Linked DNA regions of Saccharomyces cerevisiae S288C. Changing the gene in region 4 together with the main gene of any one other region gives a genetic interaction. Each region holds a gene or a part of one and is shown on either strand. Other genes may lie near its edges. The genes, in order: PDB1, STP1, SPE1 and UTR1.

The links.
Region 1: mutations in UTR1 (region 4) and PDB1 together harm fitness less than expected from each alone (positive genetic interaction), as found in Saccharomyces cerevisiae (3 studies listed by BioGRID).
Region 2: mutations in UTR1 (region 4) and STP1 together harm fitness more than expected from each alone (negative genetic interaction), as found in Saccharomyces cerevisiae (2 studies listed by BioGRID).
Region 3: mutations in UTR1 (region 4) and SPE1 together harm fitness more than expected from each alone (negative genetic interaction), as found in Saccharomyces cerevisiae (2 studies listed by BioGRID).

What each region holds. Positions count from the first base shown.
Region 1 is NC_001134.8:663,119-670,654, reverse strand, and holds PDB1 (pyruvate dehydrogenase (acetyl-transferring) subunit E1 beta), read left to right. Parts: upstream 1-4,401; coding exon 4,402-5,502; downstream 5,503-7,536. Other genes in the region: YBR225W (uncharacterized protein), read right to left, coding at 1-28; TDP1 (tyrosyl-DNA phosphodiesterase 1), read left to right, coding at 358-1,992; PCS60 (Pcs60p), read left to right, coding at 2,304-3,935; YBR221W-A (uncharacterized protein), read right to left, coding at 4,013-4,117; YBR220C (uncharacterized protein), read left to right, coding at 5,978-7,536; YBR219C (uncharacterized protein), read left to right, coding at 7,352-7,536. UniProt on the Saccharomyces cerevisiae protein: The pyruvate dehydrogenase complex catalyzes the overall conversion of pyruvate to acetyl-CoA and CO(2).
Region 2 is NC_001136.10:1,382,730-1,390,437, forward strand, and holds STP1 (Stp1p), read left to right. Parts: upstream 1-4,086; coding exon 4,087-5,646; downstream 5,647-7,708. Other genes in the region: palmitoyltransferase PFA5, read right to left, coding at 1-714; TFIIH/NER complex subunit TFB3, read left to right, coding at 1,082-2,047; MFA1 (mating pheromone a), read left to right, coding at 2,447-2,557; CMI8 (Cmi8p), read right to left, coding at 2,795-3,037; mitochondrial 54S ribosomal protein mL40 MRPL28, read left to right, coding at 3,344-3,787; SPP41 (Spp41p), read left to right, coding at 6,143-7,708. UniProt on the Saccharomyces cerevisiae protein: Transcription factor involved in the regulation of gene expression in response to extracellular amino acid levels.
Region 3 is NC_001143.9:93,534-101,074, forward strand, and holds SPE1 (ornithine decarboxylase SPE1), read left to right. Parts: upstream 1-3,223; coding exon 3,224-4,624; downstream 4,625-7,541. Other genes in the region: DNA-binding transcription repressor ASH1, read left to right, coding at 966-2,732; YKL183C-A (uncharacterized protein), read right to left, coding at 4,862-5,074; LOT5 (Lot5p), read left to right, coding at 5,188-6,108; tetrafunctional fatty acid synthase subunit FAS1, read left to right, coding at 7,138-7,541. UniProt on the Saccharomyces cerevisiae protein: Catalyzes the first and rate-limiting step of polyamine biosynthesis that converts ornithine into putrescine, which is the precursor for the polyamines, spermidine and spermine.
Region 4 is NC_001142.9:524,009-531,706, reverse strand, and holds UTR1 (NADH/NAD(+) kinase), read left to right. Parts: upstream 1-3,230; coding exon 3,231-4,823; downstream 4,824-7,698. Other genes in the region: OSM1 (fumarate reductase), read right to left, coding at 341-1,846; ISY1 (Isy1p), read right to left, coding at 2,303-3,010; CYC1 (cytochrome c), read right to left, coding at 5,043-5,372; ANB1 (translation elongation factor eIF-5A), read left to right, coding at 6,326-6,799. UniProt on the Saccharomyces cerevisiae protein: Specifically phosphorylates NAD in the presence of ATP, dATP, or CTP as phosphoryl donors.

The DNA.
Region 1 (7,536 bases), on a different chromosome or scaffold from region 4:
TGTTTTTTGCTTCCTTATTGGAGCCCATTGTATTTACTTGAGCAGTTTATAAAAAGTGGATAAATGAGGGGAAAAATAATAAAAAAGAAAATTGAACAATCCTTCAATATGTGTCCTTTAATAATTACTACTACTTTACACACTTCTCCAGTAGCTGCTGCTTGTTTCAGGTGATGTGAACAACGTGTTTCAGCGTTCTTGGTAAGTGTTGGTATGGATCCCTTCTGATGTATTTTCGGCGGCCGCACTAAACTGCGAAAATGGTAATTTAATAAAGGGCTTATAAAGAGGAAAATAATGCAGAGAAACGGTGAGCCCAGACAAGAATGATGATAATGTGTTTTCAACCGATCATTAATGTCACGAGAAACAAATTTCAATGGAACTAAGAGGAAGAGGTCGGATGTTGCCGAGAAAGTAGCACAACGGTGGAAGAGCGTCAGGTATAGTGCTGAAATGGAGAATATGGCTCCGGTCAACAGTAACAATGATAGCGACGACTGCGTCATAGTCAGTGAATCGAAAATCATTGATTTGACTAATCAGGAACAAGATTTGAGTGAGAGAATAGAAACAAACGATACGGCAAAAGGTGCCGTTTTTAAACTAATGAAATCGGACTTCTATGAAAGAGAGGATTTTATGGGAGAAGTAGAGGATATGATTACATTGAAAGATATCTTTGGCACTGAGACACTAAAAAGAAGCATACTCTTCAGTTTCCAATACGAACTTGATTTCTTGTTGAGACAATTCCACCAGAACGTAGAGAACATAACCATCGTCGGCCAAAAGGGTACTATTATGCCTATCGAAGCCCGTGCTATGGACGCGACACTGGCAGTAATATTAAAAAAGGTCAAACTTATTGAAATAACGATGCCCCCATTCGCTTCCCACCATACGAAGCTGATCATAAACTTTTACGATAATGGCGAATGCAAAATATTCTTGCCATCTAACAATTTTACGTCAATGGAGACTAACCTGCCTCAACAGGTGTGTTGGTGCAGTCCCCTTTTGAAAATAGGTAAAGAAGGGCTACCAGTACCGTTTAAGAGAAGCTTGATAGAATACCTCAATTCGTACCACCTGAAAGACATTGACGAATTGATTACAAAAAGCGTAGAGGAAGTTAACTTTGCTCCTTTGAGCGAATTAGAATTTGTATATTCTACGCCCTCCAAATTTCAGTCGTCGGGTTTACTGTCGTTTTACAATAAACTAGAAAAACTTTCTGCTGGCACAAGTGCTAGTGATACTGCAAAACATTATCTATGTCAAACTTCATCCATAGGGACATCTCTATCAAGAGCGCGAGACGAAAACTTATGGACACATCTAATGATTCCTCTGTTTACCGGAATCATGTCCCCTCCAGCAAAGGACACCGCTGGGAGGAAGAAAGCAGAAATACTGCCAACGAATTCATTGATTAATGAATATTCGCAGAGAAAAATCAAGCCGTACATTATTTTCCCCACCGAACAAGAGTTTGTCACCAGTCCCTTAAAGTGGTCCAGTTCCGGGTGGTTTCATTTTCAATATCTTCAGAAAAAGAGCTACTACGAAATGCTGCGAAACAAGTTCAAAGTATTTTACAAGCAAGACCCTGCTATGGTTACTAGAAGACGAGGGACGACGCCCGCGCACTCTAAGTTTTACATGCATTGTGCAACAAACTCCGCAGGGCCCTGTGATGCATCGCAGGTATTTAAAGAACTAGAATGGTGCCTTTATACTTCGGCAAACCTCAGCCAAACAGCATGGGGCACCGTTTCAAGAAAACCACGCAATTATGAAGCAGGAGTGCTTTACCATAGTCGCAGGTTAGCAAATACCAGGAAGGTCACGTGCCGTACTTTTACACGTGACCGTAGAGGCTGCGCGGGTAATCCCACCCATGTGGCCGTGCCATTCACGCTGCCAGTCATACCATACGACTTAGCTGAGGACGAGTGCTTTTGCCTTGCTCGTCATGAGAACGACTAACAAGTAAGAGCGCGATGTTGCTGTCCACTTAGGCATCACTATATGGGGCCAGGAATGGCAAATTTACTTGATAAACTTCAGGCGATTGGATTTTGGTGCTCAGAATATTTTTTTCTCGGGCCGAAAGCGTCTTTAACTATTCCGAGCTAAAGCTTCCGAGTCCTTTATTCGGTCTTTTTTTATTTTTCAAGATTAACTGTATATAAATAGAGATGGTATGATTAAAAGCTCTTTTTAATAGATGCTCCTTCTTGAAATTTACTCCCACTGTGCTGCAAGAGGTTAGACGCTTCACGCACATTTTTGCTACAATGACAAGTGCCGCTACTGTTACTGCTTCGTTCAACGATACTTTTAGCGTATCCGATAATGTCGCCGTTATTGTTCCTGAAACGGACACTCAGGTGACCTACAGGGATCTATCCCACATGGTGGGTCACTTCCAGACCATGTTCACAAATCCTAATTCTCCATTGTACGGAGCTGTTTTCAGACAAGATACAGTGGCGATATCCATGCGTAATGGGCTGGAATTTATCGTCGCTTTCCTCGGTGCTACTATGGACGCTAAAATTGGCGCGCCCTTGAATCCCAATTATAAGGAAAAGGAGTTCAATTTTTATTTGAATGACCTGAAATCTAAGGCGATTTGCGTCCCAAAGGGTACCACAAAGTTACAGAGTTCTGAAATTCTAAAATCTGCCTCCACGTTTGGATGTTTTATCGTAGAGCTGGCCTTCGATGCGACCAGGTTTAGGGTAGAGTATGATATATACTCTCCAGAGGACAACTACAAAAGGGTTATTTACCGGTCTTTGAACAACGCCAAATTTGTCAACACAAATCCCGTTAAATTCCCTGGGTTTGCCCGTTCCAGTGACGTTGCCCTGATTTTGCATACCAGTGGTACCACCTCCACTCCAAAAACGGTGCCTTTGTTACATTTGAACATTGTGAGAAGCACGTTGAACATTGCTAACACTTACAAGCTAACGCCCTTGGACAGATCTTATGTCGTGATGCCTCTTTTCCACGTCCATGGGTTAATTGGTGTTTTACTTTCCACTTTTAGAACTCAGGGTTCTGTTGTGGTTCCCGATGGATTCCATCCAAAGTTATTCTGGGACCAATTTGTTAAGTACAACTGTAATTGGTTCAGTTGCGTTCCCACAATAAGCATGATTATGCTGAACATGCCCAAACCAAACCCTTTCCCACACATTAGATTCATCAGATCGTGTTCTTCTGCTTTGGCTCCAGCAACGTTCCATAAGCTGGAGAAGGAATTCAATGCACCTGTCTTGGAGGCCTATGCGATGACCGAAGCATCACATCAAATGACCTCAAACAATCTGCCTCCAGGAAAGAGAAAGCCTGGTACTGTGGGCCAGCCACAAGGAGTCACCGTCGTCATTCTAGATGACAATGACAATGTCTTGCCCCCGGGCAAAGTCGGCGAAGTTTCCATCAGAGGCGAAAACGTCACTTTGGGGTATGCTAATAATCCAAAAGCTAACAAGGAGAACTTCACCAAGAGAGAGAACTATTTCAGAACCGGTGACCAAGGTTATTTCGACCCTGAGGGGTTTTTGGTCCTTACAGGCAGAATCAAAGAGCTTATCAACAGGGGTGGTGAAAAGATTTCACCCATTGAGCTCGACGGCATTATGCTATCGCATCCAAAGATCGATGAAGCCGTTGCATTTGGTGTTCCCGACGATATGTACGGCCAAGTAGTTCAAGCCGCCATTGTTTTGAAGAAGGGAGAAAAAATGACCTACGAAGAACTGGTGAACTTCTTAAAGAAGCACCTAGCCTCTTTCAAAATTCCAACCAAGGTGTACTTTGTTGATAAGCTACCAAAAACCGCTACAGGTAAAATCCAGAGAAGAGTTATCGCAGAAACTTTTGCTAAGAGCAGCAGAAATAAGAGTAAGTTGTAGGCAGTATCCTGTACAATTTTATGCTCTCTGAAAGCTTCTATCTGGCACCCGTTTATATACGCCAATACTTATGTATTTTATCTATCTAATGAAACCACAGTATTTATCATGCCTAAGCTGATTCTTTTTCGTCGCGGCTGTTTCCGGGGTCTGTTTTCCGAGACTTCGAAGTGGGAGAACATGCAAAAGAGACGAGTCTTCAACTAAGAAGTTCTCCGTCATTAAAAGTCATGCGTTTGCACGTTTGCAATAAAAAGAGGTGTATCTACATATACAGGTTAACGATTGCAACAGCGACTCTTGATATTATCTCTGTCAAGTTTCTTCCTTTTGTTAGACTAATTTAGTATCATTTACACACTCGGACGTTAAATTCCGCCTCCCTCATAACAGTTCCTGTGTTTGTTCATTGATAATCGATCGCAGTTTAGTAAGTTCTTTTACTTTTGCAATAATTTTGTTCAACATGTTTTCCAGACTGCCAACATCATTGGCCAGAAATGTTGCACGTCGTGCCCCAACTTCTTTTGTAAGACCCTCTGCAGCAGCAGCAGCATTGAGATTCTCATCAACAAAGACGATGACCGTCAGAGAGGCCTTGAATAGTGCCATGGCGGAAGAATTGGACCGTGATGATGATGTCTTCCTTATTGGTGAAGAAGTTGCACAATATAACGGGGCTTATAAGGTGTCAAAGGGTTTATTGGACAGGTTCGGTGAACGTCGTGTGGTTGACACACCTATTACCGAATACGGGTTCACAGGTTTGGCCGTTGGTGCCGCTTTGAAGGGTTTGAAGCCAATTGTAGAGTTTATGTCGTTCAATTTCTCTATGCAAGCTATCGATCATGTTGTCAATTCCGCTGCAAAGACTCACTACATGTCTGGTGGTACTCAAAAATGTCAAATGGTCTTCAGAGGTCCTAATGGTGCTGCAGTGGGTGTTGGTGCTCAACATTCACAGGACTTTTCTCCTTGGTACGGTTCCATTCCAGGGTTAAAGGTCCTTGTCCCTTATTCTGCTGAAGATGCTAGGGGTTTGTTAAAGGCCGCCATCAGAGATCCAAACCCTGTTGTATTTTTAGAGAACGAATTGTTGTACGGTGAATCTTTTGAAATCTCAGAAGAAGCTTTATCCCCTGAGTTCACCTTGCCATACAAGGCTAAGATCGAAAGAGAAGGTACCGATATTTCCATTGTTACGTACACAAGAAACGTTCAGTTTTCTTTGGAAGCCGCTGAAATTCTACAAAAGAAATATGGTGTCTCTGCAGAAGTTATCAACTTGCGTTCTATTAGACCTTTAGATACTGAAGCTATCATCAAAACTGTCAAGAAGACAAACCACTTGATTACTGTTGAATCCACTTTCCCATCATTTGGTGTTGGTGCTGAAATTGTCGCCCAAGTTATGGAGTCTGAAGCCTTTGATTACTTGGATGCTCCAATCCAAAGAGTTACTGGTGCCGATGTTCCAACACCTTACGCTAAAGAATTAGAAGATTTCGCTTTCCCTGATACTCCAACCATCGTTAAAGCTGTCAAAGAAGTCTTGTCAATTGAATAAATAAACTTCAATCCAATAGGAAGGAGAGAAAGAAGGAGATAGGGAACTTTTTTCCCTGTACCCTACACTTTCTACCCTCTTCGCGGAAATAGTACTAATGAGAAAAACATAAATAATATTTTGCTAATCAAGACATGTATGGCGTACTGGTTATTAGTAGATATATAACTGCAAATACACACATACATACAATGTATATATTTTGTTTTTACAAAATTGAATGAGATAAGTACTGTGCACATTGAATGAGTTCCTGTTTCATGGTTAGAATACGCACATATTTATTTTCTTTTTTTTCTTTTCGACGACAGGCTGAATGAAAGAAAGAAAATAAAGATACTCTGGCATGCGAAAATAAGTGAAAAATAAATCGGCTATAATGCGTAAGCTACTGTGGGAAGCAGAAGCAAGACCTAAACGTTTGGTGAGGCAGTATAATATACCATAGTTATAGGGGGATAAAACAAAAGTAGGCATGGAACCTAAGCGAAAGAGCGGGTCACTAGCCAAGCATGATTTGCCGCAATTTTATCTTTTAATTATGTTATATTTGGCTCAAGGCATACCTGTAGGATTGGCCTTCGGTACCGTACCGTTTCTACTGAAATCTTTAGCAAAGGAGACCTCGTTTACATCACTGGGAATTTTCTCTATGGCTACATATCCATATTCTTTAAAGATCATATGGTCACCAATAGTAGACTCACTGTACAACAAGCGCATCGGTAGAAGAAGATCATGGATCATTCCAGTACAATTTGTTAGTGGATTTGTGCTATGGGCATTAGGGTGGTGCATATCACAAGGCATAATCTTCGATGGTGTCGACGATGCGTTCCATAATCGCGGTAATGGCACTTTACACAGTGTCAGTATAAAAAATTTGACGTGGTGGTTTGGCCTGTTAGTTTTTCTGTGTGCCACTCAAGACATCGCAGTTGATGGTTGGGCGTTGACGATTTTGTCCAAAGAATCCCTATCATATGCATCTACCGCGCAAACAATAGGTTTGAATATTGGTTATTTTATGTCATTTACCATTTTCCTGTCGTTGAATTCCTCTGATTTCGCCAATAAGTATTTCAGAAACATCCCACTGGATCACGGGTTCATTAGTCTTGGTGGGTACATGAAATTCTCGGGCATGCTTTACATTGTAATAACCATATATATCATCTTTTGCACCAAGGAAAAACCCTACGTAGAGTATTTGCCCAAAGTGGAGCCCATAAATACAAGTGACGGAGGGTCAAAGCCGATAAGTATTGAGTATGACGACGGTGATGTGGTGTCAACTCAGAATACAAGCAGTATAAAGTACATTTACCGCTGCTTTATAAAAGTGTTGAAATTGAAGTCCGTAAGAAGCCTAGCCTTCATTCACATGATTTCGAAATTTGCCTTTCAATGCAACGAAGCCGCCACAAACCTGAAACTACTAGAGCAAGGCTTCAAAAGAGAAGACTTGGCTGTGACAGTACTCATAGACCTGCCGTTCGAAATCATATTTGGGTACTATGTTGTTAAATGGAGCTCCGACAAGGACCCCATGATTCGTGACAATAGAAGATTAAGAAACAGCACGGGCACCAACAAGGTCATCAAGTTCTTAGTTGGGGATGCCGGCGTTTTAACACCATGGTTGTGGGGCTTTTTGGGCCGTCTGGCAGCCGCGGTCTTGGGAAGTTACGTGGTGAAGCAATTCCCCAAGGATGGTGAAATATCCACGGGTTATTTTTGTCTCGTGATATTCCAGCACCTCTTAGGTTCCTTCATGAATACTGTCCAGTTCATTGGAATATCGGCCTTCCATACAAGAGTTGCAGACCCCGTGCTGGGTGGCACATATATGACATTGTTAAATACCCTCAGCAACTTCGGTGGGACATGGCCGCGGTTAATCATTATGTCCATGATCAACTACTTCACCGTGTATCAGTGCACTATTCCTGGCACAAATAAAGTATACGTAACTCACGGCGGCAGCATGCAAGCGTGCACCGAGCTTTTGAATGGCACCGTGACCATCCTGCG
Region 2 (7,708 bases), on a different chromosome or scaffold from region 4:
GTAAAAAATACTCGATGCCAACAAACTTGCGGTTAATAACCATCCAAGGATGGCAAACACTAACGTTGAAATTATATTTGCGTTTAAATTGGGGCTATAATTATGATTGTGTTGAGTAATAATTCTTATGTAAACGCAAATAGACACCCACATGATAAGTAAAAGTGTTGAAAAATAAGCAGCAAACTGCACAAAGAGTCTATAATTGTCTCTACCAATAACAGTCCCTATCCACATGCAGTAATGATCAAAGCGAGGAATGCAGTGGCCTAGTTCTGAAGAATGATGCGTTCGTTCCATTTTCAGACTTTGACATTCACTGCACCATATTGGGTATCCGTGAGGATCAGACTGATAACACTTAGGCGGAACCACAGCATCGTATTCCACTGAAGTGTTTTGAGAAGTGTTGCTAGTCTTCTCTTCAGAGGCTATAGGAAGGATCAAAAAAGGTGCTACGTGCGGTTGGGTACCTGGACCGACCAAGATAACTATTTGAAGCCATATGAAAATCACGACTACGTCTAGGAAGCATACCGCACAAATAAGACCAACCGAAACTGATTTCTGACGAAGTCGTTTGTCGACTTGCTCGTAACATAGTTTATGGCAGTAAGCCCACGTACCGTAGCACAGTAAACCGAGCACGATAATCGGTAAGATGAATCTAAACCATGACCTGCGCCTGATTCGAATATTCCATGATAGAGCCATTCATATACAACGGTTTAATTTCTGCCGTGTCGCGATGAAAGGACCTTAGCTAGGTTCTGAAAATATTACAACGGGCAGATATACGCCTAATTAGTTGTTTTGTTTGAGTGCTGTGTTTATGCTACTATTATTTAAAACGTAAATAGTGGAAAAAAAAATCGACTAAATGGTCCAAATCGGGCCGTTCGCTCGTAAATTTGTTCTTAAGCACTAATACTAAAGAGAGTATACAACAGAACAGACGCACAAGACAGCACTCATCATCAGCTAAGAAACTGAACTGCTTGTTAAAATTTGAGTTTGTTTCCTCTTAGGATTTGCAGCATTAGTGGGCCCCCGCACACAAGTAAATATAAGTGAAAGAAAAATGCTTATGGATGAGTATGAGGAAAACAAGGACATGTGTCCGATCTGTAAGACAGATCGATACCTTTCTCCGGATGTGAAATTTTTGGTGAATCCTGAATGCTATCACAGGATCTGTGAGTCGTGTGTTGATCGAATATTTAGTCTCGGTCCTGCCCAGTGTCCATATAAAGGGTGTGACAAGATTCTTAGAAAGAATAAGTTCAAGACCCAAATATTCGATGATGTGGAAGTTGAGAAAGAAGTTGACATCAGGAAGAGAGTGTTCAATGTGTTCAACAAAACTATCGATGACTTCAATGGTGACCTTGTGGAATATAACAAATATTTGGAAGAGGTGGAAGACATTATATACAAACTAGATCACGGGATCGATGTGGCTAAGACCGAGGAGAAACTACGCACCTACGAGGAATTAAACAAGCAACTGATTATGAATAACTTGGAGAGAAGCAGAACAGAGATAGAAAGTTTCGAACAGAGACAAAAATTCGAAAAGGAGATGAAATTGAAGAAGCGACTGTTGGAAAGACAAATCGAAGAGGAGGAAAGAATGAACAAAGAGTGGACAAAGAAAGAAATCGTCAACCGGTTGAGTACGACCACCCAGGATATCAATGAAACAATCGAAGGCGTTAAAAATACGGTTAAATTGAAAAAATCGTCCGCTAGAAGGAAATTGGAAGAACTAAATAGAGTTCTGAAAAACAATCCATATTTCAATTCAAATGTGAACGTACAGAATTCGAGACTCAAAGATGCTGTACCGTTCACGCCGTTTAACGGTGATAGAGAAGCACACCCAAGGTTTACGTTGAAAGGTTCAGTATACAATGACCCATTCATCAAAGATCTTGAGCACAGGAAAGAATTTATTGCGTCTGGGTTCAACACTAATTATGCGTACGAAAGGGTGTTGACAGAGGCATTTATGGGCTTAGGATGTGTTATATCCGAGGAGCTTTAAAACATCAGGATAGTGTGCAACGTGGCATAAGCTATGTAATCAACTACTTTTTATTTTCTATGTACGCATATACATGCATTCACGATCTGTTTCAGTGTTCAGAAAAAAGGCACCTACTGCTACGGTTGGCCCATACCTTTATTCTTTGTTCTTGTTACAAACGAGTGTGTAATTACCCAAAAAGGAAATTTACATGTTAAATGAAACCCAGTAATCAGAAAAAACAGTTAAGAAACCTAAAATGGTAGAGATAAAGATACAGATTCAGTGGTTGCTGAAAATCAAGTAAAAAAATGAAATAGAGTCTTCATATATAAACCGCCAGAAATGAATTAATGAGAGGGATCTGTAACTGTTTCTCGGATAAAACCAAAATAAGTACAAAGCCATCGAATAGAAATGCAACCATCTACCGCTACCGCCGCTCCAAAAGAAAAGACCAGCAGTGAAAAGAAGGACAACTATATTATCAAAGGTGTCTTCTGGGACCCAGCATGTGTTATTGCTTAGTTTCTGCGTACAAAAACGTTGTTCTCCCTCCTTTATCTTCCTTTTCCGCTACACCAATATATCATGTTTGTTCGTAATATTTCTTTTTAGACCTAATAATAAATATCCTAAGTAACTATATTATATAAAATATTTTGATACCCTGTACCTGCTTTTGTTATCGTTGTACATCCATGCACACGCTCATATATATATATATATATATATATATGTATATGTACATATACCGCTTACCACCTACCGTGAAGTATATGTAAGGGTCTTCGCACCCGGATATCCCTTGTGGGATCTTGGATGCGGATGGTGAGTGTAAACAGGCCTCATAAAGCTGTCTCTGTGTGCGGAAGATGTCGTTTCATCGGCTTCGACCTCCTCCTTATCTTGCTTCATTGTTTCTTCGTAAGAGGGCGGATCTACGGGCAGCGGGGTCGCTGTCTCCTTGTATGCATGCTTATTTATATCACTCTTTCCGCTATCCATCATAATCTGTTTTTGTTTATGTGCTTTGAATACTCAACACATAAAATAATATCCAGTTAATTGTCGTCTGTCCATTGACGCTTTGCCTTTGTCCCTTTAGACTGTCTTTATTGTGAAATATGCACGGCTGAGAATTACGTATACAGTGACTATCGTATGGGGCGACAAAAGTTCCCAGCGAGAAACAAGATGAAGCAGACTGGGGCCTGCCTGTATGGAGGGAAGCATAAGTTAATATACCTCCAGATATTTGCAGATTAGGATACTGAACTGACGAAGACCTACGCTACACAACGAAGATAACACATGCTGGCACAAACATTCAAAAAACCACACAGAGCCGTTCTAGAACAGGTATCTGGGACCACGGTCTTCATCAGAAATAAGAGAACAAAGAGCAAGAGCTCACTGTCACCTTTGGCACAAAGGGTCGTCACGCAGTTGAGTGTGATGTCTGCAAGCAGAAAGCAGCCCAAGTTGCTGAAGCTGGCGCGTGAAGACCTGATTAAACATCAGACCATTGAGAAGTGTTGGTCAATTTATCAGCAGCAACAACGGGAGCGCAGAAATTTACAGTTGGAATTACAATATAAGAGCATTGAGAGATCTATGAACCTTCTACAAGAACTCAGCCCTCGTCTGTTTGAGGCTGCCAATGCTTCCGAGAAGGGCAAGCGATTCCCGATGGAAATGAAGGTGCCCACTGACTTCCCCCCAAATACGTTATGGCATTATAACTTCCGAAAATGATAGCGTGAGCGAACGCTTGACTGTCTCCTGCTGTAAATAACTGATGATCAATAGAATGCCACGTATATATGGACTTATATAATTATATGTACATAGACATATAAAGGGCATGTGGTAATTATGACATGAACTGTATCACTATTGACGTTTTTTTTACTGCTTTTTCCCATCCCTGCAAGCGAAAAAAAAAGCAAGCTGACTCTTGTATAAACTGCAAGGACTCATTGATTAAAAGTAGATTTACATTACAGACTAAAGGAAAAGGCAAACTATACCGGCTATACCACATTCGTTCAAAAATGCCCTCTACCACGCTACTGTTTCCGCAGAAACATATTAGGGCCATTCCAGGCAAGATATACGCGTTCTTCAGAGAGCTCGTCAGCGGAGTTATTATATCCAAGCCAGATCTAAGTCATCATTATTCTTGTGAAAATGCGACAAAGGAGGAAGGCAAAGATGCAGCAGATGAAGAAAAGACTACCACAAGTTTGTTTCCCGAATCAAATAATATAGACCGTTCTTTAAATGGTGGCTGCTCTGTGATCCCTTGCTCCATGGATGTCAGCGATTTGAACACGCCAATATCGATCACACTATCTCCTGAGAATCGTATCAAATCAGAAGTAAATGCCAAGTCACTGCTCGGATCAAGGCCAGAACAAGATACAGGCGCCCCTATCAAAATGTCTACTGGTGTCACAAGCTCTCCATTAAGTCCATCAGGCTCCACCCCAGAACATTCCACCAAGGTCTTGAACAACGGCGAAGAGGAGTTCATTTGTCACTACTGTGACGCTACTTTCAGGATTAGAGGATATCTAACGAGACATATTAAGAAGCACGCCATCGAAAAGGCGTATCACTGTCCATTTTTTAACAGTGCCACTCCTCCTGATCTTAGATGCCACAATTCGGGTGGTTTTAGCAGACGCGATACTTATAAAACTCATTTGAAGGCAAGGCACGTGCTGTACCCCAAAGGTGTTAAACCACAAGACCGTAACAAGTCGTCCGGCCATTGCGCTCAATGTGGTGAATACTTTTCCACCATTGAAAATTTCGTTGAGAATCACATTGAGTCTGGGGACTGTAAAGCTTTACCGCAGGGGTATACCAAGAAAAATGAAAAAAGATCTGGAAAATTAAGGAAGATCAAGACATCTAATGGTCATTCTAGATTCATATCCACTTCGCAAAGTGTTGTAGAACCTAAAGTACTTTTCAACAAGGATGCCGTAGAGGCTATGACCATAGTGGCTAATAACAGTTCGGGCAATGATATTATATCCAAGTACGGAAACAACAAATTAATGTTAAACTCGGAAAACTTTAAAGTCGACATACCCAAGAGAAAGAGAAAATATATCAAGAAAAAGCAGCAACAGGTATCTGGATCGACGGTAACCACACCAGAGGTAGCTACACAAAACAATCAAGAAGTGGCACCTGATGAAATCTCATCCGCCACAATTTTTTCACCTTTTGATACTCATCTACTCGAGCCCGTCCCTTCTAGTTCATCGGAATCTTCCGCTGAAGTTATGTTCCATGGCAAGCAAATGAAGAATTTTTTGATTGACATAAACAGCTTCACAAATCAACAGCAGCAGGCACAAGATAATCCTTCGTTCCTGCCACTCGATATTGAACAATCTTCATATGATTTGAGCGAAGACGCAATGTCATATCCCATCATATCCACACAAAGCAACCGTGATTGCACGCAGTATGATAACACAAAAATCTCACAAATCTTACAATCACAACTAAATCCAGAATATCTCAGCGAAAATCACATGAGAGAGACACAACAATATTTGAATTTTTACAATGACAACTTTGGGTCACAATTTTGATTAAATATAACACGGGATAAAAATAAGGGTATCATATTGGAAAGCCGATGGGTAAAAATTATTGAGTTAATAAATGGAGACAATATTAAAAATCAGGTAACAACAAATAAAAGGTTATAAATGTACTGCTGTATACTATATAAAAACTTTTAGCATGACTAATTAATTTTCATACTACTATGTTAAATAAACCAAGTGATTGCAACACCAATATTTTATTATTGATCTTCAGCGCATAGAGTCGATTCGTAGATATTATCACTTTTGACGTTTGTGATTTCTTTTTCATGATTGATTACCGATGATGCTATAACAAATAAAGGTCAAATTTTGAAAACAATGAAAAATAAGTAGTAAACAAATAAATGCACATTTATTGACACTAGTAGAGTGTAAGAGGAAAGTAATTTTTAGAACGCTTTATACACCTCTATCATTTATTTTTTTTTTGGTAAAAAAAAAACAGTAAGGTGTTAACCATATATCATATTCTGCCATGGCTTATGATGAAGATGATGGAGAGATAAATTTTAATGAACTTGTGGGGAACTTACTAAGCTCACATAACCAAGAGGGACAAGAGGAAGGAGAAGTGCAAGGAGGAGAACAGGAAGGAGATGATTTTGAAAAAATATATCCTACCAGTGAAAATATAGAACCAAAGCATCCAGATGACAGCCAGCATATGCATAATTCTCCTGACCAGAATATCGAAATACCACATTTTGTCGACGAAGAAGATGAGCTAGTATCTGTCGTTGCAAATGCGGTTCAAAATATAGACGATGAGCAAGCCAAACCGGAAAATCATCTGGAAAATGGATCAGAACATGTAACATCGGATACAGCGGATGATAATCACGAAAAAGAACAACAGCAAGAATGGGCTCATATCTTACAGCAGGAAATATTAAAATCAGACGGAGAGCCCTTGCGGGAGAATACAGAAAGGCGTGTAAGCACTAGTCAGCACCATCCCTCTCAGCGTACTGATGACGCTCTCGACCAAGATGATGAAAATTTGAGGATGGCTATCCTAGAGTCTCTACAAGAATTAAACACAAATGAGGAGGAAGAGAAAGAGCCGGAAAAACATGAGCATGCTGCCCCGAATGATAAGTTGAGCAGCAAAAAATCTTCAAAGAAAAAGAAAAAAGATAAATCCAAGAACAGAGAATCATCAAAGGATAAATCCTCAAAGAAGAGTAAATCTTCGAGCCATTCCAAAAAGCATGCCAAAGACCGTAATAAAGAAAAGCAAAGTAAACCTACTAATAATGAAAATACCCTTGATTTAAGTAATATACTAGAAAATCTGATTCATGAAAATGACAATGCTGCAATAGACACTGCCAAACAAACAGTTGATATTCAAGATAACTCCCATACTGATAATACAAACAACGAAGATGTGGAAGCGCAAGCTTTAGTGGAAGCGACACTAAAAGCATTTGAAAACGAGCTGCTAAGCTCTGCGCCAACCGAGGAGCCTTCACAAGAACAGTCGATTGGGCCTGTATCTTCTAGAAAAGCAGTTGAACCACCACGAAAACCGACTGCAGACGATATTCCATTGGCTATGTTACAGGCTTTTAAACCGAAAAAGAGGCCTCCTCAAGAGAAGAAAAAAACAAAAAGTAAGACATCCAAGGCTGCATCTACAGCAAATAAATCACCTGCATCTGAATCTACCTCCAAGAAAAAGAAAAAGAAGAAAACTGTAAAGGAAAGTAATAAATCTCAAGAAGCTTACGAAGATGATGAATTTTCCAGAATATTAGCCGATATGGTTAACCAAGTGGTTAACACTTCATTAAAAGAAACATCAACGCATACTGCCACACAGGATAATAAATTAGAAAGCGAAAGTGATTTTACTTCCCCTGTACAAAGTCAATATACTACTGAGGATGCAAGCACAGCTAATGATGACTCGCTTGACTTGAATCAAATCATGCAAAACGCAATGGCTATGGTTTTTCAAAATCAAAACGACGATGAATTTGATGAGAACATTGTTGAAGACTTTAATCGTGGTTTAGGCGATCTGAGTGTTTCCGAT
Region 3 (7,541 bases), on a different chromosome or scaffold from region 4:
ATCTTGTCCAATCAAAGAAGCATCGGTTCAGATCGAGCAAACTGTAGGGAGAAAGGAAAGTAGAAATGCAGAGTGTGCTATATGTCCAATCTCGGTTTTGTAGTTTGGATGTCATTAGAGATCTACCACCCAACCGGCTGCTTTCATGTGGAACAGAAAAGAAATCGGGGCGCTTCCTCTTCTGTATTCCTTTAATTAACGTTTTTATTCAGCCATCTAACCATCATACCCCCATACGGTAACAAAACCTCTTCTAAGAAAAGAAGTCTCTGCTCCTCCGCCATCTTATTTTTATTCGCTGCGCGCGTTTATTGTCGCATCGCTAGCCAGCAAAAAGTTGGTTGCCTTTTTTTACCTAAAAAAGACACATCTAACTGATTAGTTTTCCGTTTTAGGATATTGACGCCAAGCGTGCGTCTGATTTCTACGATATGTCTCTAATTTTGGAAGGGCCATTTTATTTTTGAGGATTGGGCTGATCATTTTCCTTACGTGGATTGAGCCAGCAATACAGATCATTATTAAACTGTTTTGTACATGATGTTAGTATATAATCGTAAAGCTTTTCTAATATGTATACCTTATACATGGAACTCCACAGAACTTGCAAACATACCAAAAATCCTTTATTCTTGTTCACTCATTTTACATCAAAAAATAATATTTCAGTTATTAAGGAAAATAAAAAAATAGATTAGAGAAGCATTTTGAAGAAATAGTATATTCTTTTATTGAACCTAAGAGCGTGATATTTTTACTCGAAATAAAATACGAAAAATCTATACACTCATCTTTCCGACTACTATTGGCTCCTGCTCAAAAAAAGAGGGAAAAAAAGCTCCAAAATTCTATCTTTTCCTATCGCTCCTGTCCTATCCTTATTACGTTCATTACTATTTTAATACTATCCATTCTTTTATTTTCAGTCTAAAAAAAACATTTCTCATAACGGGAAAAGCAAAAAAATGTCAAGCTTATACATCAAAACACCACTGCATGCATTATCTGCTGGTCCGGATTCTCATGCAAATAGCTCCTATTATGACAATCTTTTATTGCCTTCATTTTCCAATTTATCCAGTAATATCAGCAGGAACAATATCACAACCGATAACAATATAAATTCAGCAAGTCCTAGGAAGTATTCGTTTCATTCGCTCAATGTGTCGCCAATTCTTTCCCCAATATCTTTGGCTAACGAAATACTTGGAAAAAAATCAAATACTGCACCAGCATCGCCACATCATATGGATTACAATCCAATTTCCTCATTAACACCAGGCAATTCACCAGAATTCAACAAGGCAAGCTTATCTCAGATTAGTTTTACAAATCCATTGAACTATGGGTCTGGCTTAGGTTTTTCCTCTAATTCACAACCTCGACTACCATTGTTAGACAGGCTATCGTCCGTCTCTTTATCTAAGAGACCGGAGCGCCCACAACAAAGCCTACCATCACTAAGGCATCTGCAATTATTACCCAGTCCTCTTTTACAAGAAAACGCAGCACGCTTCCCTGATACATCAAAACGTACATCTAATTGGAAAACTGATCTTACCCATTGGTGTAAGGATACAAACTATCAAGACTATGTTAAAATACGCGAAGAAGTGGCTCATTTCAAGCCATTAAGTATACCCAACTTAACTAATAATCAAAATAATGATAGTTTCAATTACGGCAAGGAATTGGAATCGACTAGGTCGTCCAAGTTCCATTCCCCGTCTAAGGAATCATTTGATCGTACCAAACTAATTCCTTCGATTCTAGAAGCTAAAGATCAATTTAAAGATCTTTCCAACAATGCATGGAGTATTACTCCTCCCGTCACACCGCCGATGAGTCCACCAACCAATAGAACCATGGAGCGCACGACGCTTAGAGGAGTAGAGGCCTCTTTTTTTGAGGGGAAATCCAGCAATAACGATTCAATATTCAATCCAATTATTAGTGAAAAATTGGTTCAAGAAGTTAAACATCAAAGACAATTACGTGGAAATTCATTTCCCATGCCAAATGCCAGTCACAAAAAGACGAACAGTTTCAAAGCTTTGCAAATAAAAAAATTGCTTGCGAATAGAGACATTCTATCGAACAATTCCAAATCTAATGTAAGGAAACCATCTAAGAACAAAATCTCAAAGCAAGCATCAAATGTTTTCGGTAACACTGCAAGACAATTGGTGATGAAACTCGACAACGCTAGTTACAGTTCTGTCTCTGCATCTTCATCTCCATCTCCCTCCACACCGACGAAAAGTGGCAAGATGAGATCAAGATCATCCTCACCTGTGCGTCCCAAGGCATACACTCCAAGCCCAAGGTCACCCAATTATCATAGATTTGCTCTCGACTCTCCCCCTCAAAGCCCTCGAAGATCATCAAATTCAAGCATAACGAAAAAGGGAAGTAGAAGGTCCAGTGGCTCATCACCCACTCGTCACACCACAAGAGTGTGCGTGTCGTGTCATTCGAGTGATTCGCCCTGTTGGAGGCCATCGTGGTCGCCAAGAAAGCAAGATCAGCTATGTAACTCTTGTGGTCTTCGATATAAAAAAACACATACAAGATGTTTGAACGATTTATGTCGTAAGATCCCCACAAAGGGTGAAATAAACATTATGAAATCCAATGGAATAGACAAAGAATTCGTCCCCGAACGCAACTGCGAAATTGAAGGGTACCGTTGCTTATTTTGTAATTACATAACTGAGACAGTAGAGAATTGATACATGGATAACTGAATCTCTTTCAACTAATAAGAGACATTATCACGAAACAATTGTACATTTCTCTCCTTGTCTGTGCTAAATAAACTACAAATAAAAATTCATTTTCTTTCATTTTCATTCGACACGCCGCGGCATCTTCGTTTTCTTCACCGATTAATTTTAATCTGCGCCGTGCAGATATTTTCGCCCATTTCGAAGTGAAATCATTCTAATAACTTCTCCTGCGCAATAGATTGGTCATCCTGATTTTTATTCTGAAATCGAAAATGAAAAGCATTTATTGCACTGAAATAGCGGAACCTGCTTCTAATAAGCTTAAAATTCAATCATAATAGTGTAGTTAATAGAAAGGACAGAAGAACTTTTCGTTCCTTGGTTTATCATCCAGGTTTCAGCACGGCTTTTGTTTCAAGTTTAAGTAGGTAAGATTTTTTGATTGTTCTACAACTTTTTCATAGTAATCAAAACCTTTGAATTTCAAACTTACTATGTCTAGTACTCAAGTAGGAAATGCTCTATCTAGTTCCACTACTACTTTAGTGGACTTGTCTAATTCTACGGTTACCCAAAAGAAGCAATATTATAAAGATGGCGAGACGCTGCACAATCTTTTGCTTGAACTAAAGAATAACCAAGATTTGGAACTTTTACCGCATGAACAAGCGCATCCTAAAATATTTCAAGCGCTCAAGGCTCGTATTGGTAGAATTAATAATGAAACGTGCGACCCCGGTGAGGAGAACTCGTTTTTCATATGCGATTTGGGAGAAGTCAAGAGATTATTCAACAACTGGGTGAAGGAGCTTCCTAGAATTAAGCCATTTTATGCCGTCAAATGTAATCCTGATACCAAGGTTTTGTCATTATTAGCAGAGTTGGGCGTTAATTTCGATTGCGCTTCCAAAGTGGAAATTGACAGAGTATTATCGATGAACATCTCGCCGGATAGAATTGTTTACGCTAATCCTTGTAAAGTAGCATCTTTCATTAGATATGCAGCTTCAAAAAATGTAATGAAGTCTACTTTTGACAATGTAGAAGAATTGCATAAAATCAAAAAGTTTCATCCTGAGTCTCAGTTGTTATTAAGAATCGCTACCGATGACTCTACCGCTCAATGTCGACTTTCCACCAAATATGGCTGTGAAATGGAAAACGTAGACGTTTTATTAAAGGCTATAAAGGAACTAGGTTTAAACCTGGCTGGTGTTTCTTTCCACGTCGGTTCAGGCGCTTCTGATTTTACAAGCTTATACAAAGCCGTTAGAGATGCAAGAACGGTATTTGACAAAGCTGCTAACGAATACGGGTTGCCCCCTTTGAAGATTTTGGATGTAGGTGGTGGATTTCAATTTGAATCCTTCAAAGAATCAACTGCTGTTTTGCGTCTAGCGCTAGAGGAATTTTTCCCTGTAGGTTGTGGTGTTGATATAATTGCAGAGCCTGGCAGATACTTTGTAGCTACAGCGTTCACTTTGGCATCTCATGTGATTGCGAAGAGAAAACTGTCTGAGAATGAAGCAATGATTTACACTAACGATGGTGTATACGGGAACATGAATTGTATTTTATTCGATCATCAAGAGCCCCATCCAAGAACCCTTTATCATAATTTGGAATTTCATTACGACGATTTTGAATCCACTACTGCGGTCCTCGACTCTATCAACAAAACAAGATCTGAGTATCCATATAAAGTTTCCATCTGGGGACCCACATGTGATGGTTTGGATTGTATTGCCAAAGAGTATTACATGAAGCATGATGTTATAGTCGGTGATTGGTTTTATTTTCCTGCCCTGGGTGCCTACACATCATCGGCGGCTACTCAATTCAACGGCTTTGAGCAGACTGCGGATATAGTATACATAGACTCTGAACTCGATTGAAGGATATATTTAACCACGACTTTCGCAAGAGAGACGGAGGGGGTGGGAAAAGGCTGAATGCAACCATTGTCACTAAGAATTTGAGTGTTCATGAACGAGTTATACACGCTATTTAAGAGTCAGAGAATGATGATTCAAGAAAATTCTGGCATTTTTCCTGTCCACCACTGTACGCCATTGTACACAAAAGTATTTTTTTATATTTTTTTTACAATTTTTTATAATTTTTTTTTATGTTTAGTGTATATTTGCTAGAAAGAAACAAGATCTTTTTTGGTAGTGTAAATGCTTAAACTTTGTCTCTTTTTCCTTTTTACTTTGGAAAAATGCCGACGCAAGAACATAGACATCTGCGAAAACCAAAAATAAAGTACCAATTGTACATACAAAAACAGAGAAAAAGTTCATGAACAGAACGTTACTACGGTATAGCAAGATCTTTGAATACATCCATTACTTCGGATTGTTCACCATACTTCAACACAGGCCAAGATAGACCATAGCTACAGTGATAGACGAATATTTATTTCAAAAGAAGCATCAACCATAAAATAAAAAGAAAAATGATGAAAAAAAAACCAAAGTGCCAAATTGCAAGGACCAAACCATCGGTCGAAAACGTCATACCATATAACCAATTCAAGAAGACGCAGCCGCGATTCAACGGCAACTTTTCTGCACTGAATAATGAAGAATACATAATACTCTTTGGCGGAGGTCGGGACCTGATACTAGGCTCCCTGACACCTTGTTCGAGCTCTCATTTGTCCAATCAAGCCAACCCACAAGACACCAGTGAGTATGGCACAGACCTGTTTATACTCAACAGCTGCATTATCATTTGGTTCAATGGCTTGGGATATGGGCTGGAAATTCCCTACAGCAGCGTTTTGTACCATGCATCAAGACGGCTACCAGATGGTAGGGAAGGGCTTCAATTAGAAATTTTGCTGACTTTGGAAAGAGACGAAGTGTTGGACATGCTCTACCAAAGCCTCGCGCCACAGGCCTGCGAATTCGACGGCGAAGAAGCACATGCCTTCACCGTGCGCAGCGTGGAATTGACTATCAGGCCCAAATATTCAATATACGATCGCCATTATAACAACGAAATCGAAACCCTTTTCACCTTCGAAAACTTCGGCGTGAACAGGGGCGATGACCTGGTAAACAATTGTAACGAAGCACTAGCCGTATGCATGGACCTGCACGGTGAGGACGTACAAGATCAAGACCAGGAACAATACCAAGATCCAAGCATGGCGTTTGAGGGTGCGCAAGATCTCAACGCCACGTATTCTGGGCTTGGAGACACCCTTCACGGGCCGCCCGTGTATCAGAACGACGGGCTGGCAGACGATCTGGATGGCGACCTCGTTATGGACAACGTGGTCTCTAGGGGTGGTCCAGAAGCAAGTATGTCTATGGAGTTCTACGCAAATCAAAATCTTGCTGGCAGAAAGAACTCCAGAGACAATGAATGAACAACATCTATTATGGGAACATCCCGCTGTACTATGCGGTCTCGTCCTCTACGAATATGGCTATTTGCCTTCGTATATACCTTTCTATACCAAGTAATGAATGTCTTGAGGGCCCGTATGGCCGCGCGAAGGCTTAGTTAAGATGTTTCAGCAAACGGCAGCATGTGAAAAAACCCGTAGAAGGTCCGCATCAGCCTTCCATGCCCGTGCACCCACGGCTCCTCGGAGGCCGGGTTATAGCAGCGTCTGCTCCGCATCACGATACACGAGGTGCAGGCACGGTTCACTACTCCCCTGGCCTCCAACAAACGACGGCCAAAAACTTCACATGCCGCCCAGCCAAGCATAATTACGCAACAGCGATCTTTCCGTCGCACAAGTTAAAAGAAATTGTTGAAAAATACAAATAATCGCGAACAATACGTTGTTGCTATTTAACGCTTTTGGTCTGACAGTAAGTGTGCCTTTCCCAATCACCGAAAAGTGTTGAACGATTCACTGCGACAATAATCAGAGATTACAGTCGGCATTTTGGCATTTTTGGCATACTTTTTATCGATTGAACCATCTTCTCCAAACACTTTTCCTTTTTCCTTCTATTCTGCAGGACCAACTAAAACTGGGTATATATATCATTATCTATATATATAAACGGCTTTCAACAAAGTTATAGGGGAAAACTAAAAATATAAGAAAAAAAAAGGTATTGATTGATAAGGAAAAAGAACCAAGGGAAAAATATAAAAAAGTACATTGGGCCTTTTCATACTTGTTATCACTTACATTACAAAGAAGAACAAACAACTTTTTTAAACGAATTTTCTTTCTTCCTTTTTCAATTTATTAATTCTTTTTTTCCATACAATTCAAGGTCAAATATATTCTTATATGCTCTTTGAATATTTCTGAAAAATATATAAAGAAAAGAAACTACAAGAACATCATCCGGAAAATCAGATTATAGACTAGGATTCCGCTCTTTTTAGTATATTTATTCGCCACACCTAACTGCTCTATTATTCGCTCATTATGGACGCTTACTCCACAAGACCATTAACCCTATCTCACGGTTCTTTAGAGCACGTGCTTCTGGTACCAACCGCTTCATTTTTCATTGCTTCGCAATTACAAGAACAATTTAATAAAATTTTGCCCGAACCCACTGAAGGGTTTGCTGCAGATGACGAGCCTACCACACCTGCTGAACTAGTGGGGAAATTCCTTGGCTACGTATCTTCTCTAGTCGAACCTTCCAAGGTCGGTCAATTCGATCAGGTCTTGAACCTTTGCTTAACAGAATTTGAAAACTGTTATTTAGAAGGCAATGACATTCACGCCTTGGCTGCTAAACTATTACAGGAAAACGACACAACTTTAGTGAAGACTAAAGAACTAATTAAAAATTATATTACCGCCAGAATAATGGCTAAGAG
Region 4 (7,698 bases):
TCATTCAGTTTGTTAGAAGAGGGAACATTGACATTGATAATGTAAAAGGATAGGCAATGGTGACACTTCAACGCAAAGAAGAAATTGCAGTATTATCGTGTAGAATCATGCTCTCTCTTGTAGATTCCTATATCGTCGGGGAGAAACCTCTACCATATTCTGTAAACCTAATACTATAGCTTTTCCCAACAAGATATATTCTTCATTTGGAACTCCAAAGAAAAGAAAAAATCGTATATCGTTACGGAAAGAAATAGCAAACAGTATATCCTATCATGTCGCATTAATTATTGAAATGTAAAGTACGTTGCAAAAATATCTTTTATTTCCCTATAAATTCTCAGTACAATTTTGCTATGTTATCCGCAGCTGTCTTTCCAAAGACAACACACTCTAACAAACTAGATCCACCCAATCTGTTGGCTCCATGAACACCACCCGAAACTTCACCAGCAGCAAATATCCCATTAGATAGAACGCTTTCCGAATTTTTCTTAATTACCTGAGATTTCTCATTAATTTTCACACCACCCATTGTGAAATGAACAACTGGTGTAACTTCCCCAACATAAACAGTTGATTCAGTCGAAATATCTTTATCAAAGGCATTGATAATCAATGGCCTATCAAACGTATCCTTAGTATTAACATCGGAATAGCTCTTCAGTTCAGTTACCAGTTCAGAAGCTGTAGTTTGTAGGTCATATTGTCGGATCAGATCGTTGATTGACACTTTTTTGATTAAGTTTTTGGACATATAAAAGTTTATGTTATTCGTATAGTTCTCGTAGACTTTGTCGCTCATTACCAAAAGTGCTCTATTATCATTTTTCGGACATTTAGACTGTATTTCCATGGTTACTGTATCTCTGGTGCTCAATTCATTTGTAAACCTTCTTCCAGTGGTGGGATGCAATAAGATGCCGCCTAAACCCCTCAATGCCTCTGCAGCCAAAAACTTCCAGTTATTTTCACGGTCATTTGGATCAATGAAGCCGGTAGGGTGTACCTGCACTTGATCCATATCAATCAATTCGGCACCCAACTTTGAAAGGATTTTTTGACCATCACCTGTAGTCTGTTTGCCATTAGTAGTTGGCAAGTGAATCAAATTTGGTGAGTACTCTTTCAACATTTCCTTAGAGTAACCAAATCCACCTGAGCAAAACACGACATGGTGTGACTTCATGATTTTACGGTTTCCGTTCTCGTCCATATATACTACACCAGTAACATGACCTTGATTATCAAGCTCGATATCCACTACTTCACTGTTTAGCATAATCTGCACGAGATTGGAATCTTTGGAAGAGATATCCTTTAGTTTTTTTGATAACGCTTGCACGATTTCAAAACCTGGTGGTAATTTGCCAGAAGATCTATGGGTCCTTGGAACAGAGTGACCGCCCAATTGCGCAAGGAGGTCTAATTTCAAATCGAATTCTGTTTGCAACCACCTGATAGCACTCTTGGATTCCTTAGTCAACTTATCCATCAGTGATGGAACCCCTCTGCCTTTAGCCGAATGCAAAGTATCTTTCAAAAACAATTCGGGAGTGTCCATTACCTTTAAATTTTGTTGAGTGTCTGTGTGAGCACCATTAATACCACTAGAAGCCTTTATAGAATTCCCACCAATAGAAGCCGCCTTATCCAAAAGCACAACAGGAATTCTGTATTTACTAATGAGACGATTACTTGTGGTTAAGCCTGCCAAACCAGAGCCAATGACCACCACTGGTTGTTTCATTGACGTTTGATCTGTGCCACTTAATGTTCTTTTCAAAACTATTATCAATACGAATATTGAGACGTAAATGAAAACCCTTCTCACAGATCTAATCATTTTCCTAAGACTCGGGATGATATAGAATTATTAAGGTATTTCCTATCATAAAATCTTTCCCTTTTCGGCGGTTTTGTTTTAAATCTGGATTTCTAAGCAAAGGATTTTCGCTAGTTTTTTTTTTTCAAGTAGCTCGTAAAAAGAAAACGAGAGCTACTCCTGCATGATTCATATAAGATTTGACGAGTGTATAAGATACATTTGTATTGGTGTACATTATGAAATCTATGTAATCTACCTAAGCGTAAAAAGGAGATCTTGCCTTCGATAACTAGTACGGTGGAAGAATTACATTTAATAACGAACGGGACAATATGATATCATAGAAGAAAAAAAAATGAGTCCCGATCACTATTTTACTTCATATCTGCAGCTCGGACATGTTTGAAGATTATAATGCTTGTGATGGTCATTCGAAATAGTGCCTCTTCTAAATGTTTGAATAATTTTCCATAGCTAAAGGTTAAGTTCATCCATTAGTTTCTTTTTTCTTCTTTGCACTAACCAATGCTCCATATCTGCCAGAGTTGGTACATGGATTTCTTGTGTCTGCCTTGACATTTCTTCTTCATCTTCATTCACAGGCACATTATAATGTGCTTTCAAAATGGATGTCCAGTTAGCCTCAAATTCGGTTAAGGCGGCTGTGACTTTGCCATGGTAATAAAAATCATTTCTATCCTTCGGTATGCATTTGGTGTTTATAGAACCCCCATCATTCTGCCTTTGAGACTGCTTGAGCCATTCTTTTACTTCAGGCAATTCCAGGGCTCTTCCAAAATATCTCTTACCATTTATCAGCTTTCCTGAATTCATCAGCACATGACTGTCTTCTAACCTTTTCCTCTTGGTTTTTTTTTCCATAAGTGTATGGTCAATGTGCCACTGCCATCTCTTCCATTCTTTGAAAAGATTATTAAGTTCGTCGTTAAGTTCCGCAATCTGCATTTCATTTAAAGACGGATCATATATTCTTGTGCTTTTTTGTTTTATCTCTTTACTTACTTGTCGCTTCCATTCGTTGGCCTCTTTTATGGATTTTACCTTAGACACGTTCCTGGGCCTCTGGTAACGTGAATAATCCTTGTATCCACCTGCCGACTCTGCTTGCTGCTCTTGAAATCGTACCAGAACTGAGTTGGCCTTATCTACATTTCTACTCATTTTGAATGCACAGGTATCTGATTACTGATGTGGTGCGCCTTGCGATATAACGGTGTGTCACTTTTATTTGCTCTTTCATGCATCCTGAAATTATTTCACCGCACTACGCAAAGAGAACGGAGAAAAAGGTATAATAGGGCAAATGATCATTGACATCGTGATCGTAAGCCAAAAAAAAATACAATAGGCTCCCTAAATAAGTAGAGTAAAAGCTCTTGAGATGAAGGAGAATGACATGAATAATGGCGTAGATAAATGGGTAAATGAGGAAGATGGTCGAAATGATCATCATAACAACAATAATAACTTGATGAAGAAGGCCATGATGAACAATGAGCAAATTGATAGAACTCAGGATATCGACAACGCCAAAGAAATGTTGAGGAAAATATCAAGTGAAAGCAGCTCGCGCAGAAGCTCCCTGTTGAATAAAGATTCATCTCTCGTGAACGGCAATGCAAACAGTGGCGGTGGTACGAGCATTAACGGAACAAGAGGAAGTTCTAAGAGTAGTAATACACACTTTCAGTATGCCTCCACGGCGTATGGTGTAAGAATGTTGAGTAAAGATATATCTAATACCAAAGTGGAACTGGATGTGGAAAATTTGATGATTGTTACGAAACTCAACGATGTCTCACTGTATTTCTTAACAAGAGAGTTGGTAGAATGGGTTTTGGTACATTTTCCACGTGTGACTGTTTATGTGGATTCCGAATTGAAAAACAGCAAAAAATTTGCCGCTGGCGAGTTATGTGAAGATAGTAAATGTAGAGAATCAAGGATCAAGTATTGGACAAAGGATTTCATCAGGGAACATGATGTTTTCTTCGATTTGGTAGTGACTTTGGGTGGCGACGGTACTGTTCTTTTTGTAAGTTCCATTTTTCAGAGACATGTACCACCCGTTATGTCGTTTTCATTAGGGTCTCTAGGATTTTTAACAAATTTTAAGTTTGAACATTTCAGGGAGGATTTACCTCGGATTATGAATCATAAAATCAAGACAAATTTACGGTTGAGGTTGGAGTGCACAATTTATCGTAGACACCGCCCTGAAGTAGACCCAAACACGGGGAAGAAAATATGTGTGGTGGAAAAACTAAGCACACACCACATTTTGAACGAAGTGACCATCGATCGTGGTCCAAGTCCTTTTCTATCCATGTTAGAATTGTATGGTGACGGCTCATTAATGACCGTTGCGCAGGCGGACGGACTGATTGCTGCTACTCCGACTGGGTCCACGGCCTATTCTTTGAGTGCAGGTGGGTCATTGGTATGCCCAACCGTCAATGCAATCGCTTTAACACCCATTTGTCCACATGCATTGAGTTTCAGACCCATCATCTTACCAGAAAGTATAAATTTAAAAGTGAAAGTCTCGATGAAGTCAAGGGCTCCAGCATGGGCGGCTTTTGATGGGAAAGATAGAATTGAATTGCAAAAAGGTGATTTTATAACCATATGCGCCAGCCCATATGCTTTTCCAACCGTGGAAGCCTCGCCCGATGAGTTTATTAACAGTATCAGTCGACAACTAAACTGGAATGTGAGGGAACAACAAAAGTCCTTTACGCATATTTTGTCCCAAAAGAACCAAGAAAAATATGCACATGAGGCGAACAAAGTCAGAAATCAAGCAGAACCTTTAGAGGTAATAAGAGATAAATACTCTCTGGAAGCAGACGCTACTAAGGAAAACAACAACGGAAGCGATGATGAGAGCGACGATGAGAGTGTAAACTGCGAAGCTTGCAAATTAAAGCCTTCGAGCGTCCCAAAACCTTCTCAAGCAAGGTTTTCAGTATAATGTTACATGCGTACACGCGTTTGTACAGAAAAAAAAGAAAAATTTGAAATATAAATAACGTTCTTAATACTAACATAACTATTAAAAAAAATAAATAGGGACCTAGACTTCAGGTTGTCTAACTCCTTCCTTTTCGGTTAGAGCGGATGTGGGAGGAGGGCGTGAATGTAAGCGTGACATAACTAATTACATGATATCGACAAAGGAAAAGGGGCCTGTTTACTCACAGGCTTTTTTCAAGTAGGTAATTAAGTCGTTTCTGTCTTTTTCCTTCTTCAACCCACCAAAGGCCATCTTGGTACCAGGAATATATTTCTTTGGGTTAGTCAAGTACTCTGACATGTTATTTTCGTCCCACAACACGTTTTTCTTGATATTGGCATCTGTGTACGAATACCCTTCAGCTTGACCAGAGTGTCTGCCAAAGATACCATGCAAGTTTGGACCAACCTTATGTGGGCCACCCTTTTCCACGGTGTGGCATTGTAGACATCTAGTCTTGAAAAGTGTAGCACCTTTCTTAGCAGAACCGGCCTTGAATTCAGTCATTATTAATTTAGTGTGTGTATTTGTGTTTGTGTGTCTATAGAAGTATAGTAATTTATGCTGCAAAGGTCCTAATGTATAAGGAAAGAATATTTAGAGAAAAGAAGAAAACAAGAGTTTTATATACATACAGAGCACATGCATGCCATATGATCATGTGTCGTCGCACACATATATATATGCCTGTATGTGTCAGCACTAAAGTTGCCTGGCCATCCACGCTATATATACACGCCTGGCGGATCTGCTCGAGGATTGCCTACGCGTGGGCTTGATCCACCAACCAACGCTCGCCAAATGAACTGGCGCTTTGGTCTTCTGCCATCGTCCGTAAACCCCGGCCAAAGAGACCGGAAAGATCGGTGAAAACATCTTGATCTTGCTCCCGGGAATTTTAGATTCAGGTAGGAAATTGATTACATCAATACTGTTACCCTGAATCATATTCGACGATGTCGTCTCACACGGAAATATAATTCATTTCTTGGTTTTCCAAAAAAATTTTCATTTTTTTTCACTTTTTTGTTTCGTCCTCCTTTTTTTTTTTTTTTTTTTATTTTTTTTCCTGTGTTCACCTTTTTTTTTTTCAGTTGACATCTTTCTGCATTCTTTTCTGTGTTTTTTTTTTTTTTTTTCGTTTTTCCATTGTTCGTTCGTTGCCTGTTTTTTCGCCCTATTGTTCTCGAGCCTAAAAATTTTTTCCTTTCCTGCTTTCCTTTCTTCGTTCAAAGTTTCCTATTCCATTGTTCTCTTTGGTAAACTCATTGTTGTCGGAACTCAGATATATTCAGGTCAATTTACTGTACTTCAATTGACTTTTTTCTTGAAATTTCAACTTGCCTTTTCAACTTGTTCTTCTTTTTTAATCTTATTCTACACTTTAGTTCCCTTACCTTGTTCCTAATTATTGTCTAGCAAAAAGAAAACATACACCTATTTCATTCACACACTAAAACATGTCTGACGAAGAACACACCTTTGAAAATGCTGACGCTGGTGCCTCCGCCACCTACCCAATGCAATGTTCTGCCTTGAGAAAGAATGGTTTCGTTGTCATCAAAGGTAGACCATGTAAGATTGTCGACATGTCCACTTCCAAGACCGGTAAGCACGGTCACGCCAAGGTCCATTTGGTTACCCTTGATATCTTCACTGGTAAGAAGTTGGAAGATTTGTCTCCATCCACTCACAACTTGGAAGTTCCATTTGTCAAGAGAAGCGAATACCAATTGTTGGATATTGATGATGGCTACTTGTCCTTGATGACCATGGACGGTGAAACCAAAGACGATGTCAAGGCACCAGAAGGTGAATTGGGTGACAGCATGCAAGCTGCTTTCGATGAAGGTAAGGATTTGATGGTCACTATCATTTCTGCCATGGGTGAAGAAGCTGCCATCTCCTTCAAGGAAGCTCCAAGATCTGATTAGATATTTTAGATTTCTATAGCTTACAAAATACGCGATGTTTTTTTGATCTAGAAATCTTATTTATACATTTTATATAATATTATAATAATCATAATCATAATTATTCATCCTAACTAACTTCGTTCTGTTTCAGCTACGAAGTTGCCTTCATTATCGCTACGTTCGTGTTAATTGGTGTTTGATACCATAGTCACTTATGACGACGTGCAGAACTTTTTTTTTTGACGGATATTTTCCCCTCAATATGCCGAGGATGATTACTTTATAATTTGCCTTCTTTCGGTTCCTTCTTCTTTTTAATTTAGCTGACGGGAACATGTGTATATACCCCAGAAGAATTTAAACAGAAATTTTTTTGAGCATTTTACGAAAATATTAAAAACTAGGGCTACAGATATCAGAGAAAAAATTACTTATATGATGACAATAACTTAATATCACAGTCACTATCGTTCTCGCCTTTATATGCGCAGTGACAGCATTCGACTTTTCCTTGGAAGGGACCCGATCAACGAAACTTCAAAAAGAGTAGAAGTCAAAATATTTTTTGCACGACGAGGGTGACAGACCGTGCTATGTCCACAAATGAGGCCCTGCTTTCCCAAGATAAATTGCGTAAACATATAATTGTTACAAATCCAAGGCTCTGTGATTTCTTCACCAAGTGTAGTTGTGATGTATGATGTGTAGGATAAGTAATGACCGGTAAATCAAGCTGGTAAAAAGTCCTAATAACAAGCCCGAATCTGGAATAATGGTAATATTCCCATGCCAGGTGGACAGTGTTGTCCTTAAACAAACTCAAGAGATTAAAGGCAACTTGGCCGAGTGGTTAAGGCGAAAGATTAGAAATCTTTTGGGCTTTGCCCGCGCAGGTTCGAGTCCTGCAGTTGTCGTTA